Linked DNA regions of Cricetulus griseus. The protein of the gene in region 1 binds, or shares a complex with, the protein of each later gene. Links are inferred from orthologs where the notes say so. Each region holds a gene or a part of one and is shown on either strand. Other genes may lie near its edges. The genes, in order: Mdc1 and Peli1.

Region 1 (9,858 bases):
TAATAAATAAATGAGTGGAAAATTAGTTTGTGTCCAACCTCCCACACAGTAGGATGGTTGAGGCAGAAGGATTCTTGTACGCTGAAGGCTAACCTGGTCTACAAAGTGAGAGCCTGTCTTGAAAACAAACCACACACGGGGCTGGAGAGATGACTCGGCAATTAAGAGCATTTGTCCTCGGAAAAAGAGCCAGGTTCGATTCCCATCACTATTTAAGGCTTTCCACTATGGGTAAGTCCTGTTCCAGGGAGCCCGGCACCCCCTTCCGCCCTCGGCAGGCATGTGGCACTCAGATAGTGCAGAGACAGACATCCAGACAAAATTCTAATACACATGAGTAAATACCTCCTCAAGAAAGAGAAAACAAAGGAAGGGGTGTGGTAAGCAGTATCAGGTCGTGAAGGAGAGGTGTGGACAGACAGGCAGGAGGATCAATGAGTTCACTGCTAACCTGGTCTAGGCCAGCCAGAGGTACATAGTGAGACCCTTTGTCAGAGAGAAAATGTATCAAAGACATTGCTGACATTCAGTCCATACACAGCTCAAGTTACCTTTTAAATAAAGGAACATTAAATAGCATTAATACCCCTTCATTCATTAAAAACACAATTAATTTGGGTCATGATAATAAGGAAAGAGATCAATTTTGTGTTACTTGAATTTGTCCCGTTAGCAGTAGGAACATGGGGAAGGAATCCAACTTACAGCTTCAAACAAACGTCTGCCAATTTGTTTATTGTGAACACAACGAGATAACCGATGGGAGAGAACTTAAAAACTATCCAAGCCCATTTCCTTGCTACGCTTTCATGTTTTGTGACGATAATAATTTTCTTTATCTCATTCCCATCTTTTGAAAGATGACAGATATTTTGAGGTTTTAGTAAAACAGTTTTGCCCACCCACGTCTGTTTTATTTAGGATCTTCCATTTAGGAAGGTGACCTCAAAATGTCCGTCATTTTACACACACACACACACACACACACACATATTCCTTGCTAAGCTTTCCAAATCAGAAGCAAATGGAATCCCTCTGCAACGGGGAGTTCTGGAGCGCCACGCCTACGGGCACCTTTCCAATCTGCAGTGTGCAGCCCGCAGCCACGACTGCAGCCCGCAAACCCTTCATTACACGTTGAGCCGGCCAGCGCCATTTCTGGGACGACCGAGAAGGGCGCTCTGGCCTCGGAACGACGTCTATGGTACGGCCCTTCTAGCCACTGCCGGCGACTGGCGCGAGACTCTATAGTAAGGCGTTTGGAAAATCGGCGCGGGAAGTGTGCGGCAGAGGACGTAGCGACGGAGGGTGGATGGGTGGGTGGGTCCAGGGTGCTAGCCAATCAGGGAGCCGGCGTCTCAGGCCACACCCCCTTTGCCTGTTAGCGGCGCTTGCTTCGGCTCCTTTCCCGCCGCCAGCCACGCTTTTTTTGAGCTGTGAGGGGGCGAGGCGGGGGCGGGGCTTCCGTCGCGGGATCCTAACCAATCGGCGCTCTCCGCTTCGTAAGAGACAGCTCCAGCAGCCAATCGGCCCGCCGAGACTCTTCCGGGGTTCGCTTTTCCCGCCACCGCGGTGGCGGCCGTTGCTGGCGGCGCGCGCGCGCGCGGGGTTTCCGTGGGTGAGTCGGCCGCCCGCGCCCGGGTTACCATCTTGATTCCTGCCGTGGCCACGCCAGAGGGGCGTGCCTGGCTGGGGTGTCACTGACTGGGCGGAGGTAGTTCGGGTTGTCGCTTCAGGGCCTCCCTCCTCTGCTAACCGCGGCCCAGGCGAAGGTTTGTTGACAGGGAATCTGTGGGCCGCCGGGTCAGCCAAAGATGGTCGCTCCTCACGGGGAGCAAGGGTCGTAGGCGTCGGCGCGGCTGACAGGACGGAGTTGACTTCCCTGTCAGCGGCTCGTGGCATCTTTATAGGTAAAAAAGAAAAGGTCTTCCCAGGCAGTTTTGAGGTTTTTGGTCGTCAGACTGTCCCTTCACGAGTAGCTCTCTGGCCTCGTAGCTCCCGAGAGAGGAGAGAGAGAGAGAGAGGAGAGGAGAGAGAGAGAGAGAGAGAGAGAGAGAGAGAGAGAGAGAGAGAGAGAGAGAGAGAGAGAGAGAGAGAGAGAGAGAGAGAGAGAGAGAGAGAGCAGGGTTTATTTTGGTTGAGGTGCCAGGTGCGCTTCCTCATTGTCAAGTCAATGAGACGGACGTGGTTGTGGGTGTGGGGAGATGCAGAGGCGGCTCCCCCGCTACCATCTGGAGTGTAGGGGAAAAAAAGCGTCTTGCCAGGGAGTTACATTAGGCAAGTTTGACTTGGAGCCCATCTATGTTGTAGTTTCTCCGCCTAAAAAGAAAAGAATAGTTTATACCTACAGGGTTTTTCGGAAGAATAAATGAATTAGACAAAGTATTAAAAATAGTTTGGCCCGGGTGGTGCTGGCGCATGCCTTTAATCTCAGCACTCAAGAGACAGAGACAGGTGGATCTCTGTGAGTTCGAGGCCAGCCTGATCCACAGAGTGAGTTCCGGGACAGCCAGAGCTGTTACACAGAGGAACCCTGTCTAAAAAGAACATCAAAACCTGGAGTTTGCACAAGGCCCTGAGTTTGATCCTCAGTAGCTCTCTGAGATCTGTGTGTCAGAGGTTAGAAGACAGTATATTTCATGTAGCAGTTTCTCAGCAACCCGTGCCTACACACGGGCCAGGCCTGGTTCTAAGGAAGGTGTCAGATCCTCTGGAACTGGAGTTATGAACTGCTGTGAGGGTTCTGGGAACTGAACCTCTTGAAGAACATGGCAGTTATCTTAACCACTGAGCCGTCCCTTTAACCGCTTAACTTGAACTTGCTATTTATTATTATTATTATTTATTATATTATTATTATTATTATTATTATTTTGTTTTTCTAGACAGGGTTTCTCTGTGTAGCATTGGAGTCTATCCTGGTACTCACTCTGGAGACCAGACTGGTCTCAAACTCAGCGATCCGCCTGCCTCTGCCTCCTGAGTGCTGGGATTAAAGGCATGCACCACCAAGGCCAGGCAATTTTATTATTATTTTTTATAAAGAGGTCCTAATATGTTGTCCCAGCTTACCTGGAACTCCTGGACTCAAGCAATTGCACTGCTTCAGCTTCCTTCAGCAGCTGGAACTGTGGACATACACTACCTCGATCCAGTTTATCATGCTTTTATATACTTTAAATAAAAGTACCCATTTTGGGGCTGGAGATATAGCTCAGTGGTAGAGCATTTGCCATGTGTGAGCCCTAGGTTTAGTTTCCAGTACCTAAAATCCCATGTAACATTCCTTTGTATATAATGTATATATAATGGTATACTTGGACCTTAATTCTTTGTCATGACCAAAAGTATAAATATACACATACATAATATTTTTGTTTTGTTTTGGGGAGCAAGGTCTTACTGTAACCAAGGGTGGTTTCTATACCCCACTCTTTTGAGACAGGGTCTAACTAGTAGCTCTGGCTGGCTTGGAACAGACTACATACACCAGGCTGGCCTTGAACTGACTCCTGCCTCCCAAGTGCTATAATCAAAGGCGTGTGTCACCCACCATGCCTGGCCAGGTCTCCAACTCTTAATATTCCTGCCTTGGGATTTCAGGTGCTGGAGTTACAGATATATGCCAACATCTTTTAATCAAAAGTTTTGTGTGTGTGTGTGTGTGTGTGTGTTGTTTTTAGACAGGGTTTCTCTGTGTAGCCCTGGCTGCCCTGGAACTCACTATGTAGAACAGGCTGGCCTTGAACTCAGAGATCTGCCTCTCTCTGCCTCCCAAATGCTGGGGTTAAAGGTGTGTGTCACCACTGGCTGGCCCCCAAAAAAGTTGTTTTTTTCCCATTGATAGTACTAAGTGTTGAACATATGGCCTCACATAGGCTAGCCAAACATTCTGTCACTGACATTCTTACTATCCATGCCCCACCCCAATATTTTTACATGCTTCAGAATGACAGAAAAGCATCACCTCATGGTGGCGCACACCTTTAATCCCAGCACTCAAGAGGCAGACACAGGTGGATCTCTGTCAATTTGAGGCCAGCCTTGTCTACAGAGTGAGTTCCAGGACAGCAGAGAAACCCTGTCTGGGAAGAAAGAAGGAAGGAAGGAAGGAAAGGCAGGCAGGAATCACCCCCACGTCACTCCACGTTCCTCCAGGGTTATCTCGTTATTTTTTCTCTACAAGTGTGTGTAAACCAATGACCAGAACAATGATAATGTGTTTCCCTCACAGGTCATGGAAAACACCCAGGTTATTGACTGGGATGCTGAAGAGGAGGAGGAGACAGAAATACCCAGTGGGTCCTTGGGGTATAGCTTGGAGCCTATAGGGCAGCTGCGTCTCTTCAGTAGTACTCATGGACCAGAAAGAGGTCAGGAGATATTGGGAGCTGAATGAGTATTGGGTCTTGTCTTCTCCTTAGAGGCAGTTGGATCATTGGTAAACCTTATGTATGTTTCTAAGAGGATAATAATTGTTGTACTAGGGATGACAAAGAGGCCACCTGAGTTGACTGTTCCAGGCGGGTACCCTGTACTTTCTGGGAGTGTTTTTCTTTTGTTAGGAGAAAATGAAGAGCTCCGAATAAAAATAGAATGTGGGAGCTGAAGAGATGGTTCAGGGACTAAGAGTGCTTACTGCTCTTGAAGAGGACCTGGTTTAGGTTTGCAGCACCCACATGGTGGTCAAAACCACCTGTAGCTCTGGTTCCAGGGGATCTGATGCTCTCTTCTGACCTTGGGTACCTGAACATATATGGTGGACATAAACTCATGCAGGTGCACACATATACATAAATAATGAGTAAATAAAAAATTTATTTATTTTGAGACAGGGTTTCTCTGTCTAGCTCAGACTGTCCTAGAACTCAGAGCGATCTGCCTGCCACTGCCTCCTCCTGAGTGCTGGGATTAAAGGTGTGTGCCATCACTAAAGGGCATAAAATTTTTAAAAGGTAAAATACATTGTGGCCTAGAAATGGATATGTAACACAACTGAGCAGTATACTTACAATGATTGCGATGGTTAGATTTATATTGTGTGTATTGTTTTTCTTCGAGACAGAGTATATATGTAGCCCTTGCTGTCCTGGAACTCACTATGCAGACTGGCCTCAAACTCACAGAAACCTACCTGCCTCTGCCTTTCAAATGCTAGAACTAAAGTCATGTGCTAATATGCCCAGCCTATATTGTGTATTTTATTACAATAAGAAACTCCCTTTGGGCATGGTGGTGCATGTCTGTGATCCCTGTACTCAGGAGGTGAGGTTGAGGATAACCTAGGCCACATAGCAAGTCCGAAAACAATCTGGGTTACATAGTGAGACCCTGGATCAAAAACAAAGCAAGGGCAGTAGCTCAGGGAAAGAGTGCTTAGCTAGCATGCATGAAACTGTTTTCGGATCTGTTGGAACAATACCGATGAGGTGAGTAGATAGAATATTACAGCAAAGTGATGTATTGTGAATGCTCTTCTACGCTGGTGTGCCCATTGTTCTTAACCCTGTGAGAGCTTTGAGTGAGCAGTAGGTACCATCTTCATTCAGGCCAGGACTCTGCCCTTACTCTTTAATGTTTCTTCTTCTTTTTTTTTTTTTTTTTTTTTTTTTTTTTTTAAGACAGGATTTCTCTGTGGCTTTGGAGGCTGTCCTGGAATTAGCTCTTGTAGACCAGGCTGGTCTCGAACTCACATAGATCCACCTGCCTCTGCCTCCCGAGGGCTGGGATTAAAGGTGTGTGCCACCAACGCCCAACTTAATGTTTCTTCTTGATCCTTAGATTTCCCACTCTACCTTGGCAAGAATGTAATTGGCCGAAGCCCCGACTGCTCTGTGGCCCTGCCTTTTCCATCCATCTCTAAACAGCATGCAGTAATTGAAATCTCAGCTTGCAACAAAGCCCCTATCCTCCAGGATTGTGGGAGCCTCAATGGCACTCAACTGGTAAAGCCCCCAAAGGTCCTAACCCCTGGAGTGAGCCATCGTCTGAAGGACCAGGAATTAATTCTGTTTGCAGACTTTCCCTGCCAGTACCGTCGCTTGGATGTCCCTCCACCTTTGGTCTCTCGGGGACTTCTAACTATAGAGAAGACCCCCAGAATACAGGGAGGGTCCCAAACCTCCAGAGTTTTGTTGGCTGAGGATTCGGAGGAGGAAGTAGGTAAGTTTGTGCCTTGGGTGTATGTGTGTGAAGAGACAGGAATGAGGGTGTAAACTGTCAATTTATTTCTTCCTGTTCTTGCCAGATTTTCCTTCTGGAAGGTATGTGGCAAATGGATCAAGGAATCCAACGTCTCCATCAGCAACAGTAGTACCAGAAAGGTGAGTAGCAAAGTACCAGATGCCTGGATCTTTTGTTTTGTTTTGTTTTTAAACAGTCTCTGTAGCCCAAGCTGGTCTTAGACTCCTGGCAGACCTCTGGGTTCAGTATCAGGATTGGGACGATAGGGTTGAGCTTCCTTAACTGGTTTTAGACACCTCGGCCTTTGAATAAAGAGTCGGTCTTGAATAAATGAGGTGATTATCTTGACAGGTGGAGCCGAGAGCCTAGGCATAATTACTTCCTCAGCTGAATTAAATTATGAAGAGTACTTGTGGTGTGCTCAGTGGGGATGGGAAGACACCTGGCAGCAGTGCCTGCTCACTCTCAGGGCCCTCACAGCGGAGTGGGGTGGCCTATCCAGGGAGTACATTCTGTGGGCTCTCTGTCTTTGCAGTGATGAAGAGGGGTCTTCTCCAGCCCAAAGTGTCCGTGGGCCGTCTTTGCCCTTTGACTTGGGCAGTGACACAGATGAAGAGCTATGTCCACAGCCAGCAGTTGGGGAGTCCTCTTCAGTTGCCAGGGATGGTGCTGCTGCAGAGGCCAAGCAGCTGGAAGCTAATGGAGTGACATCTGGTATCCAGCTGGTACTGGCTCAGCCTGCTGAGCAAAAGCTCAGAGATGCAAAAGTCAAGAGTGAGGCTGGCAATGGAGCGGCTGTGGTTGGGAGGGGCTCCACTGTGGGTAAGGACAGCAACACGGAAATGGGTGAAGAACACCAGCCTTCCGGCTTTGTGGACAGCGATACAGACGTGGAAGAAGACAGGATCCCTGTGACCCCCCCTGTAGTTCCGGGGAAGAAGCAAGTCCTGCTTGGAGTTGGTAAAAAGGACCCTGGAGCACCTGTCGTGACCCATCTGCAGGACAGCCCAGCTGGTCGTGGCACAGGTGTGGAAGAAGGCAAGACTCCAGTGGCTGGCCCTCCAGAGAGAAACCACACGGCCATGGTGATCAGCAGCGACACAGATGAGGAAGATGGAGTCTCAGCAGCAGTCACCTTGGCCCATCTGAAAGACAGGGGGATGGCTCTGTGGAGCAGGGAGCCAGGCATGGAAGAGGTCAAGTCCCAACCACAGGTCCTCGTAGAACGAAGCCAGAGTGCCTCTGGGAAAGACAGTGACACAGACGTGGAGGAGGAAAAGAGAGAAGTGGTCCCTGACAGCCCCATGGACACAGATGAGGCTCTTACTGTCCCACATTCAGAGAGCCAAGCTCCCCATAGAGCCAGTGATGATGTAGACCAGGGTGTGGATATGGGCTCCCCTGGTGGTCAGCTAGAGGGAAACCAGGCCTCCTCTGCCACAGTAGAAGACAGTAGTGCACAAGCAGGGAAGGAAGTCCTGCCTCCTGAGGAGGCCTGGGAAACAGCTGTGGAGGAAGGCTCATCTTCAGCAGCGGCAGATGTAAGACAAAGCAAGCAGCCAGGAGTAGAAGATGCTGGGACAGAGTGGGCTGCAACTGTTTGTGAGCAGGCGAGCATGCTTGAGGTGGGGGTCCAAGGCAGGTCACCTGCTACACTGGTAGAGCCAGTGGTGGTGCCTACAGCTACTCTGGGGGATCCCACTCAGCCACAGAGAGAGGGAGCCCAGACCCCCACAGGAAAGGAGAGAGGAGTACAAATGGGCAGGACCAAGAATGCCAAAGACTGCCGTGATGGTAAGTGCTGCTCTCTGCTCTGCCCTTGACCCCTGAAGTAAACTGGCTGTAAGAGTCAGGAGAGAACTGTAGAAGTCTGAGGGTGAGTTGTCATTCTGTCTGTCTCTTATCTCCTCAGCAGAGTCTGAAGATGTGTGCCTTCCGGCTACCCAGTGCTTTGTAGACAGGGAGGGCCAGAGCTCAGAAGGTGAGGACCTTGTGTTGTTTGGGTCATCTGAGTGCCAGTAAGAGCCAGGGGATTAGATTGGCAGTCCTAGAAAGATGGTATGGCCAAGATGGGGCATGGGGCACAGGCATTCTGGGAGGAGCTGTGCTCCAGCCGTCTTTTCTTGTGCAGCTGTCCAGAGTTTGGAAGATGAGCCTACGCAAGTCTTTCCATGCACTCTTCCCCAAGAGCCTGGGCCTTCCCACCTCAGCCTGCAGACGCCAGGTACAAGATAGTCTCTGTGAGCCCTCAGCCTTGTATCCTTTCTCGTCCTCTTCTGCTGTGTCCTTTAATGCTGTGTCCTGTGTTAGATGTGTCTGTATCACATCATGTCTGTGGGCATGCCTGGTGCCCACAGAGGTCAGTGCTGCTGACTGTTGAGCATCTCTCCAGCCTCTCATACTCTTGTTTGTGTGGAGACGAGGAGCTCATGTAGCTGAGGATGATTTGAACTTGTGGGTCTCCAAGTGCTGGGCATCAGGAAAAAATCCATACCAGGTGTGGTGATACACATTGGGCGGCAGAGGCCGGAGCTCAGGACCAGCCTGGACTACATTGAAAGTTTGAGGCCTGGACTATATGAGACCTTATCTCAAAAAAAAAAAAACAAAAAAAAACAAAAAAACAAGATGGAGCTGGGTTATCCCAGCACTTGGGAGGCAGAGGCAGGTGGGTCTCTGAGTTCAAGGCCAGCCTGGTCTATAGAACAAGTTCTAGGACAGCCATGGCTACACAGAGAAACCCTGTCTCAGGAAGGGGAAGAAGATGGGCTGGAGAACTGGCTGGCAGCTGTTGTAGAGGACAGAGTTCATCCCTGTCAGGCAACTGACAACCACCTGAGAGAGACTCCAGTTTCTGGAGATCAAGGCCCTCTCAGATACACACACACACACACACACACACACACACACACACGATATACGCACATACATATGAAGAAACATTTCTAAATACATCTTAAAAGATAAGATAACACATCAAAGCAGATTCCTGGGTCTTACCCTGATTCTAGTTCAGGAGATTTGGGATTGGCCCAGAAACTCAATTTTTGTGTCTACATGCCAGAGGTTGAACTCAGGGCTTTATGCATGCCAGGTGAATGCTCTCCTCAGCCACATACACAGTCCTTATTTTCCAGATGAGCCTCCTGAAGGAGAGATTATAATCTTCTAAATAGTATTCAGTGTCATAACTACCACCCTTACTTCTAGCTTGCCTTAAGTAACCCACTTAGCCTTTTGTGAGTCTTAGCCTAGTTCTTAGCCTTATTGTCTTTTTTACCTGCATGCCTATTTCCTTTTTCTGATCCTCTTTAGGTCCAGGTGCCCAGGATGTGCCTTGGGAAGTCTTAGCTACACAGCCGTTTTGTCTGAGAGAAGCTGAGGCCTCTGAACTGCAGCTCATGGACACCCACCCTGCAGCTCATGAATCCCACCCATCTGTGTCTAGTGCATCAGCAGGACAGCAGCATCTGGTTCACACAGAGCCGCTGGGAATTGAAGGCGGAGAGATGCAAACTGTGGAGAAAGCCATGGGTATACCAAAGAACACAGCAGACAGTTGGGGGAAGACGTGACGGGTGGGGGGAAGAACTCCTCAGGGTGGAGAGGACCAAGGAAGGTGCTGGCTAGAGACAGACAGGGATAGAGTCTGGCTTGGGGAAGGGGGTGGACCCT
Region 2 (8,085 bases), on another chromosome or scaffold:
TAGATACTTATGACTGTCTGACTGCCTTCATGACTCAGAGCATGTGGCATGAATAGGAATGGAATTCCTTTCAGATCAAGGGCCTTCTAAATATGGAGGTCAGTTTGATGTAAAAAGGACGTACAGATTACCCTCCTTGAGAGTTCATTTAGGAAAAGTACATATAACTTTTTTCCTTGCCCAAAATATGGACATTTCTTTACTTCTTCTTCTTCTTCTTCTTCATCATCATCATCATCATCATCATCATCATCATCATCATCATCATCATTATGACACGGTTTCTCTGTGTAGCCTTGGCTGTCCTGGAACTTGCTCTGTAGATCAGGCTGGCCTCAAACTCAGAGAACCGCCTGTCTCTGCCTCCTGTCTGCTGGCCAGATTTATTTTTATGTGTCTGCACATGTGCAAGCGTCTGCACATGTACAGGTGCAGGCCACAAAGGTCAGAAGAGGCAGTCAAAGGCAGTGAAAGCCACTTGCCGTGGAGGCTGGATGAAACTCCCTTCCTCTGCAAGAGCAGCAAGCACTCTTAACTGCTGAGCCACCTGTCCAGTCCCTGAAATTCCTTTAATACAGACCAGTAAGTATAAAACAGAACTACCTCTCAATGTACTTACACAAAAACACCTGACTAATGATTTTTATCTCTTGAGTCTAAAAACTTGAGTTTCATAGAAAATGAGCCATGTTTTATTTCTTAGCTGATAGGAGAGAAAATTCAGGGCTTCTGGGAACATAGAACCTTTATCATCATAAGCATGATTCAGGTAGCTCAGTTGCCAGCTCTCTAACAGGCCTAATTTAGAGGACCAGAGACATTAGTGTTCCATTAAATGCAAACTCCTATGTATTTAACATGATGACTACGTCAGCAGAGTGAGGCAGATCTAGTTAGTCTGGGGTAGAATTATCACTTCTGGCTTCCCATTCTCAATTGTGCAAAAAGGAACCCACAGAGACAAATTCAAATATCTATTTTGAAAAGTATTTACTTAGTTTGAATAAATTAATTGCAAATAAAAATTAAGCTACAATATATAGCCTCAACAGAAATGACAAGAACAAACACAACACAGGACTCGATTTCCTTGCATTAGTCACAAATCATGTGACCAGAAAACTTCAAAATCAACTAAATCTCTTTGAAAAAAGGGTAATAACCAGCAGTTACTGATACATCACAGCTAACTTATAATACAAATTTCTTGACATGCATTTCCTGAGTGAACCCAAATGATCATTTTCAAAACAAAGAATTTGACAATCAAGTAAAATAAAATAGTTCATGGCTTCTAAGTGACTTTTTTGTTTTACTTAAAAAAAAATCAAAACACTGATGTAGTAAGATGAAGTAAAGCTATACTACCACATATAAGAATTTGACAACAGTCGATTAAGTATTATACAGTTTTTCAAACTAAAGGAAAGGAAACCAAAGATTGAAAGATGACTCTATCTAATCTAAATGTATGCTGATTTCTAGAAGTGTTAAAAGGGTTTGGTGTAGTGCAACTGTTTGTATGTCTGGTGCATTTTAAAAAAGGCTAGGGTGAGAAGAAACTGTCTTGCAAAGCACATACTGGAATTAGAGAACTAAGAGACCCTGCGGTGTGTCCTCCTCTGCTGTCACTCCCCTCCATCCGCCAACCAGACATTTCACAAGTCACACTGAGGCCACTGTCCTTAGGAGTCAAGACCACAGTTAAGGCTGGTCTGCTGGATTAAAAGGGAGGTACTACTGTCATTCAACCCTTTGTAGTTTTAGATTTCTACTGCTTGGAATAACCCAAATACAGAATAATTTACAAAACGCTTTTTATTTCTTTTTTTCTAAAAGCAAATCAAGTAATTTTCTTTTATTGTTAATTTCTTGTTAATTTATGTACTTTCTCATAGGATTTTTTTCTTTTTTCTTTTTCTTTTTTTTAGAAACAGTGAACAGATGAACCACAGTTTATATCCAAAAAAATAAACTTGCCAAATGTCGCTGGCACTAAAAACAGATCAGTTACCATGGGAGAAAAATAGATCATCTAGATTAGATTGCATATTCAAAGGAGCATATAAAATGTCTCTTAGCATTAGCTTTTGTTATAGTACTACACTTGAGAGAAACATTAAGGAAAAAAATGTTTTCCGATTAACTTCAATGTGGTTAAAAAACAAACACCTCTTAGACAATGGTAATTAATGTGAATCTGGTTTTATGAAATACTCTAATTCATCAAATTCCCTACTTATACAGGCCTGGGGGAAGGAAGATCTCTTGTCTTTCTCCTTAACTTTGCAAATCCTTGAGCTATGTGCCCACTAAACTACCATTCACACCCAAAGTGTGTGACACCATCATTACCATGCTACTCTATCACGACATTCTAAGGTATTTTCTATGATAAAGATAAATAGAAAAAAATTAATATACATGTTGCTATATTTTACAATGTTTGCAACAAATTGTAAACTAACGTAGTTTGAACCAACAAACCCTCAGTTATACAGAACAACTCAACACTGAGTATGGGTGGTGATTCAAAACACTAAAACGAAGGCATCAAATTAGACTATGTCTTTTTCTCCTCAAAATATATTTTCAAAACTCAGAATTCAGAAGTCTGGAACTTTCAAAATTTCCTTTGCTTGATTTTCTCAGATTTTTTTCAGAAATTGCTATTATAAATATTTAAAAAATTCTTCATCTTAATGCAATGACCAGAGCAGAGAAACTTACGTGGACAACTGGTTGGAATACCCAACTCACTTAGCTTATAAACTTATAATGCAGTCCTAGAGACAGCTGTTAGTCTAGAGGTCCTTGGAAAATAAGTCTGATATAGCCTTGTTCACCAGCCAACTGATGTGCACAAAAGGGACAGGCTGCGTGAAAAGTGTGAGTACCATGAGGAAGTGGGATCTGTGACCAATAGGCCGTTGTCTTTTCTGAACACACGTGCCCACAAGGGCTAAAGGCATGGGTGGGAGGGCCGGCGTCCACATAAAATCCAGCTTCACATCCAAGCCACAGAGGGACATAGGGACCAACAGACCTACACATAGGACATTCACGATCTTTTCCGTCACGTTCTTCTTTGTTTCCCCAGTTATGATAACCATGAACATGGCCGCAGTTTAGATATACCCACGGTTGTTTTTCATCTACAACGTCTTTCCTCTTCATACTGGGAAAGGCTAGTGTGTTGAACCCTACAGGGCACTGAGGTCGGGCTGCATTGATTTCCTGTCTTAAAGCTTCTAAGTGCTTCACAGTAGGAGTGTGGGAAAGGCCTTCCGCAGTACGCCAAAGCAAGGTTGCACCACAAAGGTCAATTAAGGAGCCATCTTGTAGCTGATTGGTTTCGATTTCCACCTGAAGGAGAAAAGAATCAAAACCGTATTTACCATTGTGTTTACACTAGGTCTTCAGTGAGTCCTAATAAGACAGAGAACCTTCCAGGATTACCTGCTAGACTTAAGGAAGTTTCTATTTGTGTGTAATGTGGAAGTAGAAATTTTAGAAGTTTGAAAAATGCTAAATTTGAAAATCAACAATAACACATTGAATAGCAACTTCTGTCTTTCAAGCCAAAAGACAACTTATGATTTAATTATCTGGCTAATCAACAAACTTAGTTATTTTTAATTAGTTAAGTATAGTCAAAGATATGTACAAAAAAATAGATGCTTAACCTTTTCTAGCTGAAACAAACACCATCCTCTAGAATTAGTGTTTGGAGGTCAGTGTTTGATGGTCTTAGTTTTTGTGTGTCAGGAATATGTCTAAGAGCTGCAAAAACCAATCAACTGACAATCTCTCTCTCTCTCTCTCTCTCTCTCTCTCTCTCTCTCTCTCTCTCTCTCTACTTCTCTCTCTCTCTCTCTCCAGTTCAACTTACCCTATGTTTATTGTTGTAAAAAGAAGCTACACAGTACTTACCATCTTTCCTCTCTGTTGAGCTGATCTGGTTTCTCGAAGACTGAACACATTCCCACAAACTGATATTTCTCTCCATATTCCAGGCTTGGAGTCTTCTGTGAACCCATTTCGTGGATGCATCACAAGAACACCATTAGTGGTCAAGCCATCCATCTGCCCATCAGATGTCTTCCATTTGGCAGCTTTTTCCTATAAAAATAGTGAGTTTCTACTTATGTGCAATTTGGAAATAGAAATTGTATAAAAGAATACATTAGGAAAAAAGGCTTTTTACCCCAAGAAAGATGTTTTTTGATGAATCAAATCCTGCAGCATAAATCCGAGCTGTAAAGGGGGGATTGCGCTCACATATGATCCTACAGGCAAATCTTGAGATAGTGCTTTGTACTGACTGTGTGTCAGAATTACTCTGACTTCCAGGAACTGTGTCAGTTACTACAAAATCAATAGGACTTTCAGTTGACCGACCAATCTAAAGGGGAAAAAAAGAACATATGACTTCATTCAAAGACCACAGTAGAATCCATTAAGAAAGAGATACGGTAAAAGTATTAGGCCTCTGAAATTTCTAAATCTCACACTTAACAATACTTAACTATCTCCATCTACACCTTTGAAACCTAATCTGTCACACTGATACAGCAGTCACTTGGAGCATAGAATTAAGTGGGAACTACAATGGAATTTCCAAGATCCTTAGGGAATAAAGACTCTAATGTGATGAGGTTCTTAGATGGCCTTAGGCTTTAACCCTTTTAAGGTAGAAATATATCTACCATATACTACCCCACCTTAACAGAATACACTGAAGGTGAGTAAATCTTTTATGACAACTCTAGAACATCATTGAAATAAAGCTAACCTGCTGCTGTGTTCCCAAGCTGTACACAAACACTGATCCTCACTGATGGCTGTAGATACAGCCTTGCTCTGAGTCTCTGAAACAGATCTCCACCTCTTTGCATTAGGTTATTAGCAGCTGTCAGTTTTTGCTTTTGGTTGTGCTTGTTTTTAGCAACAAGCCTCTCCTCCAACCACTTACTCTGATAAGGATTGAGACATCAAATAACTAAACTTCAAAGAACAGTACTTCAAAGGTACTTTGTTCCAGGGTCCCCAAGGAAGCACAGAAAAAGAATTCTCTATGTAGGCTGTAGGATTTGTCATACACCTTGGTATTTTTTTTTCATTTCTGAGCAGTAAGGTTTCTAGCTGGAGTCCTTGGTGAGGCAGGTATCAGGGTAAACTATCTTTAAAGTACTAGCTAGTAAGAAAGTTTCTTGCATCTTGAAAGTTGAAGGGGGAAAAAAGAAATGAAACAGACGACAAAAGTGACATGTGTCACTGGTTTTAGTGGAAACGTTTAGAAATCATAGGTTCTATAACATATTAATGATGGCACATAGAAAATATCAACTCTCTACAAACAGGATTCCTTTGGGGGGGGATGTCTAGCTATATAGTCCAAGATGGCCTAGAATTCTACCTCCTTCTGCCTCAGTTTAACCAAGTAGCTGGAAACACAACTTTGTGCCTCGGTGCATGGTTTTTACTTTTCCAGAGGAGACAGAAGTGAACCCAAGGGCTGCCTTAAAAAAAGTCAACCTAAACCAATTTTCTGTTACTTCTATGTACCATGTTCTAGCTATAAGTAGAATTGTCAATTTTCTACCATACTTTATACTATTTCTGACATCCTTTATTTTAGAATCCCTTTCACTGGCTATTGTCAGAAGTCCTATTAAATCTGGTTAGTAGGTATAGATTTGTTTTGTCTCTCTGAGACAGGGTTTCTCTGTGCAGCCCTGGTTGTCCTGGAACTTGTTCTGTAGACAAGTCTGGCCACAAACTCACAGAAATTTGCCTGCCTCTGCCTCCCAAGTGCTAGGATTAAAGGCCTGAAGGTACAGATTAAAAAAAAAAAAAAAAAAGACTATGACGTCTTTTACCTGTCCTTCCTCCCCATCAGAAGTCTGCACTTCTCACTGAGACACTGGAGAGCACCTCCACATGTTAACTGGACTGGAATCTGAATTTTTACCTGACAGACTCAGCATGAATGTTCTTACTCAGTTTGGAATGCAGATAAATCATCCTTCAATAATGAAGTAATTTACTAGACTGGTTTCTGATTTTTCCTAGACTTTATAGTACAGATATCTTTAATTTTCCACAGGGATAATGCCCACAGAAAATTAACTTAGGAAAACAAAGCCAACTACAAAGGACAAGATAAACATATAAATACAAGTTTTATTTTTTGAAGTTAAATTTCAAATATGTGAGCAAACAGCTACTTGTCATTTTGACTTTTAAAAAACTAATCACATTTATTTTAAATATTGCTTGTTGATAAGGATGTGGGAAAACACTGTTACTATTATGTTTTATCGTGATCCAATCTTTCATCACTAAGGATGTTGTTTATTTAGTTTAGCAAAAACAAGGAAGAGAAACAAACATCCATACTCTAATAATAACTGTGAAGATACAATTCTTAAGAAATAATCATACATCTTACAGAGCTAGATGAGAGATCAGCCTCAAACATATTTTGCTAATGATCAAAATTAAATAGATCTCTCAGTCCTTTCATTTAGCATTATAAAAAAGATGAAAACACTAATTGGACAATAATTTTAATTGACTGATAACAGTCAATTCTAGTTAAGTTTCTTTAGAAAACCAAATATTAAGAGAGAAAATATTAAGAATTTCATGTCTCTGGGCTTAACTGCTCTATAATCTATCAGCATATAAAAATAAGTATCAGCATCAGATTGATGCAGAGAATGGGAACCAGAGGGAGAGATTTTTATTATACCAGTAGCCTTGACCAGTTGTGTGCTGAAAACCAAATTCCTCTAACTGATGTAAATAGTTAGAAACTGCCTGTACTCTTTGTTGCTTAGAGAGGAAGGTAGGAGGTGGGTAACAAGAAGTCTAAACTATGTGTAGAATGTTTCTGGTTTTCTGTTTGGAATAGCAACAACCACTATTTACTATGAGTTTACTCTCAGCTGGCTCGGATCTGCATCTGCTCCATGCACGCACCCCCTTAAGCCTCTAACAGTCCTGAGGGAGAGACTATTCTCTGCACTTTACAGAGGAGGAGGAGGCACAGAGTAGCTAAGACATGTTTACCAGGCCAGAAGAGACACTAGATCCCCTGGAACCGGAGTTACAGGCTGTTATGAGCCACTTTAAGGTGGGGCTAGGAATCAAACCTGGGTCCTCTGCAAGAGTAGCAAGTGCTCTTAACCCTCAAGTCAACTCTCTAGCTTCAGAGCCCATCTTTAAACAATACTATGACGACTTTTAAATATGAGGCTTCAAAAATCAACACATATTTTAAACAGATACAATATGAAAGTATATTTAATCTGATCATAGCAAAGTCACTGACAATAGATTTTTAAACCTTTTCATTTTTAAAGAAAAAATTTATGTTATAATACCTGAAACATATCAGTGTTGCTGTCATGAGTATATTCAACCACCACTGTCTGGGCTCGAGATAATGTGTATGATATGCTATGCTGGTCCTTGTTGCTTATTGCCTATGAATGAAAAGGTTAACAGCAAAAATTAGCAGTCAATCAAATCAGACAATCTCTTCAACTAAAGGAAGGTAAAATATTTGTCACATACATGTATACATGATATATCACATACATGATATATCAAAAATTTAAAAAATTGACACTCATCAATTTTTAATCCCTGAGATTTTTCTTGCTTAAAAAGGAGCTATCAATGAAAGCATGAAGGGCAGGATAATGAGAAAGTAGGGCTGGGAGGTATATCAGTGCTAGGGACACAAAGACAGGACGACACCTCGAGCTCACTGGCCAGCCAGCCCACAGTGATTAAAGACCTCCAGGTTCAGTGAGACCCTGACTCAAAAAACAAGATGGAGAATGACTGAGGAAGCCACCAGATGTTGACCTCTGGCCTTCACAGGCACACACACAAACATGCTTCCATATACATACAAGCATGCACATACACAAAATGAGAAAGTAGATTATATGCATTTCCCTTGACAGTGGTCCCTCAACCAGAGGTATTATATAGTTAAGAGGCATCTGAAAATATTTAAATGCTTTTGGCTGTCACAATGATGTTAGTGATTAAATGACTTTTAGTGCA

Evidence for each region.
Region 2: the proteins of Mdc1 (region 1) and Peli1 are in contact, whole or in part, in a crystal structure (PDB 9IF9), measured with the Homo sapiens proteins. The link is inferred for Cricetulus griseus from reciprocal best matches to the Homo sapiens genes MDC1 and PELI1. Residues at the interface, in NP_055456.2 of Homo sapiens: Glu761, Asp762, Ser763, Glu764, Thr765, Gln766, Pro767, Phe768, Asp769; in NP_065702.2 of Homo sapiens: Arg104, Ser105, Thr106, Glu107, Thr115, Asp116, Val130, Gln131, Ser132, Thr133, Ile134, Ser135, Arg136, Phe137, Thr185, Asn186, Thr221, Arg222, Ser223, Ala224, Cys247.

The regions. Positions count from the first base shown.
Region 1 is NW_023276806.1:229,744,752-229,754,609, forward strand, and holds the start of Mdc1 (mediator of DNA damage checkpoint protein 1), read left to right. Parts: upstream 1-4,234; 5' UTR 4,235-4,237; coding exon 4,238-4,373; intron 4,374-5,781; coding exon 5,782-6,162; intron 6,163-6,247; coding exon 6,248-6,323; intron 6,324-6,718; coding exon 6,719-7,977; intron 7,978-8,095; coding exon 8,096-8,164; intron 8,165-8,314; coding exon 8,315-8,407; intron 8,408-9,498; coding exon 9,499-9,717; intron 9,718-9,858. UniProt on the Homo sapiens protein: Histone reader protein required for checkpoint-mediated cell cycle arrest in response to DNA damage within both the S phase and G2/M phases of the cell cycle.
Region 2 is NW_023276807.1:85,379,252-85,387,336, forward strand, and holds the end of Peli1 (E3 ubiquitin-protein ligase pellino homolog 1), read right to left. Parts: intron 7,494-8,085; coding exon 7,392-7,493; intron 4,406-7,391; coding exon 4,208-4,405; intron 4,123-4,207; coding exon 3,934-4,122; intron 3,367-3,933; coding exon 2,800-3,366; 3' UTR 972-2,799; downstream 1-971. UniProt on the Homo sapiens protein: E3 ubiquitin ligase catalyzing the covalent attachment of ubiquitin moieties onto substrate proteins. Involved in the TLR and IL-1 signaling pathways via interaction with the complex containing IRAK kinases and TRAF6.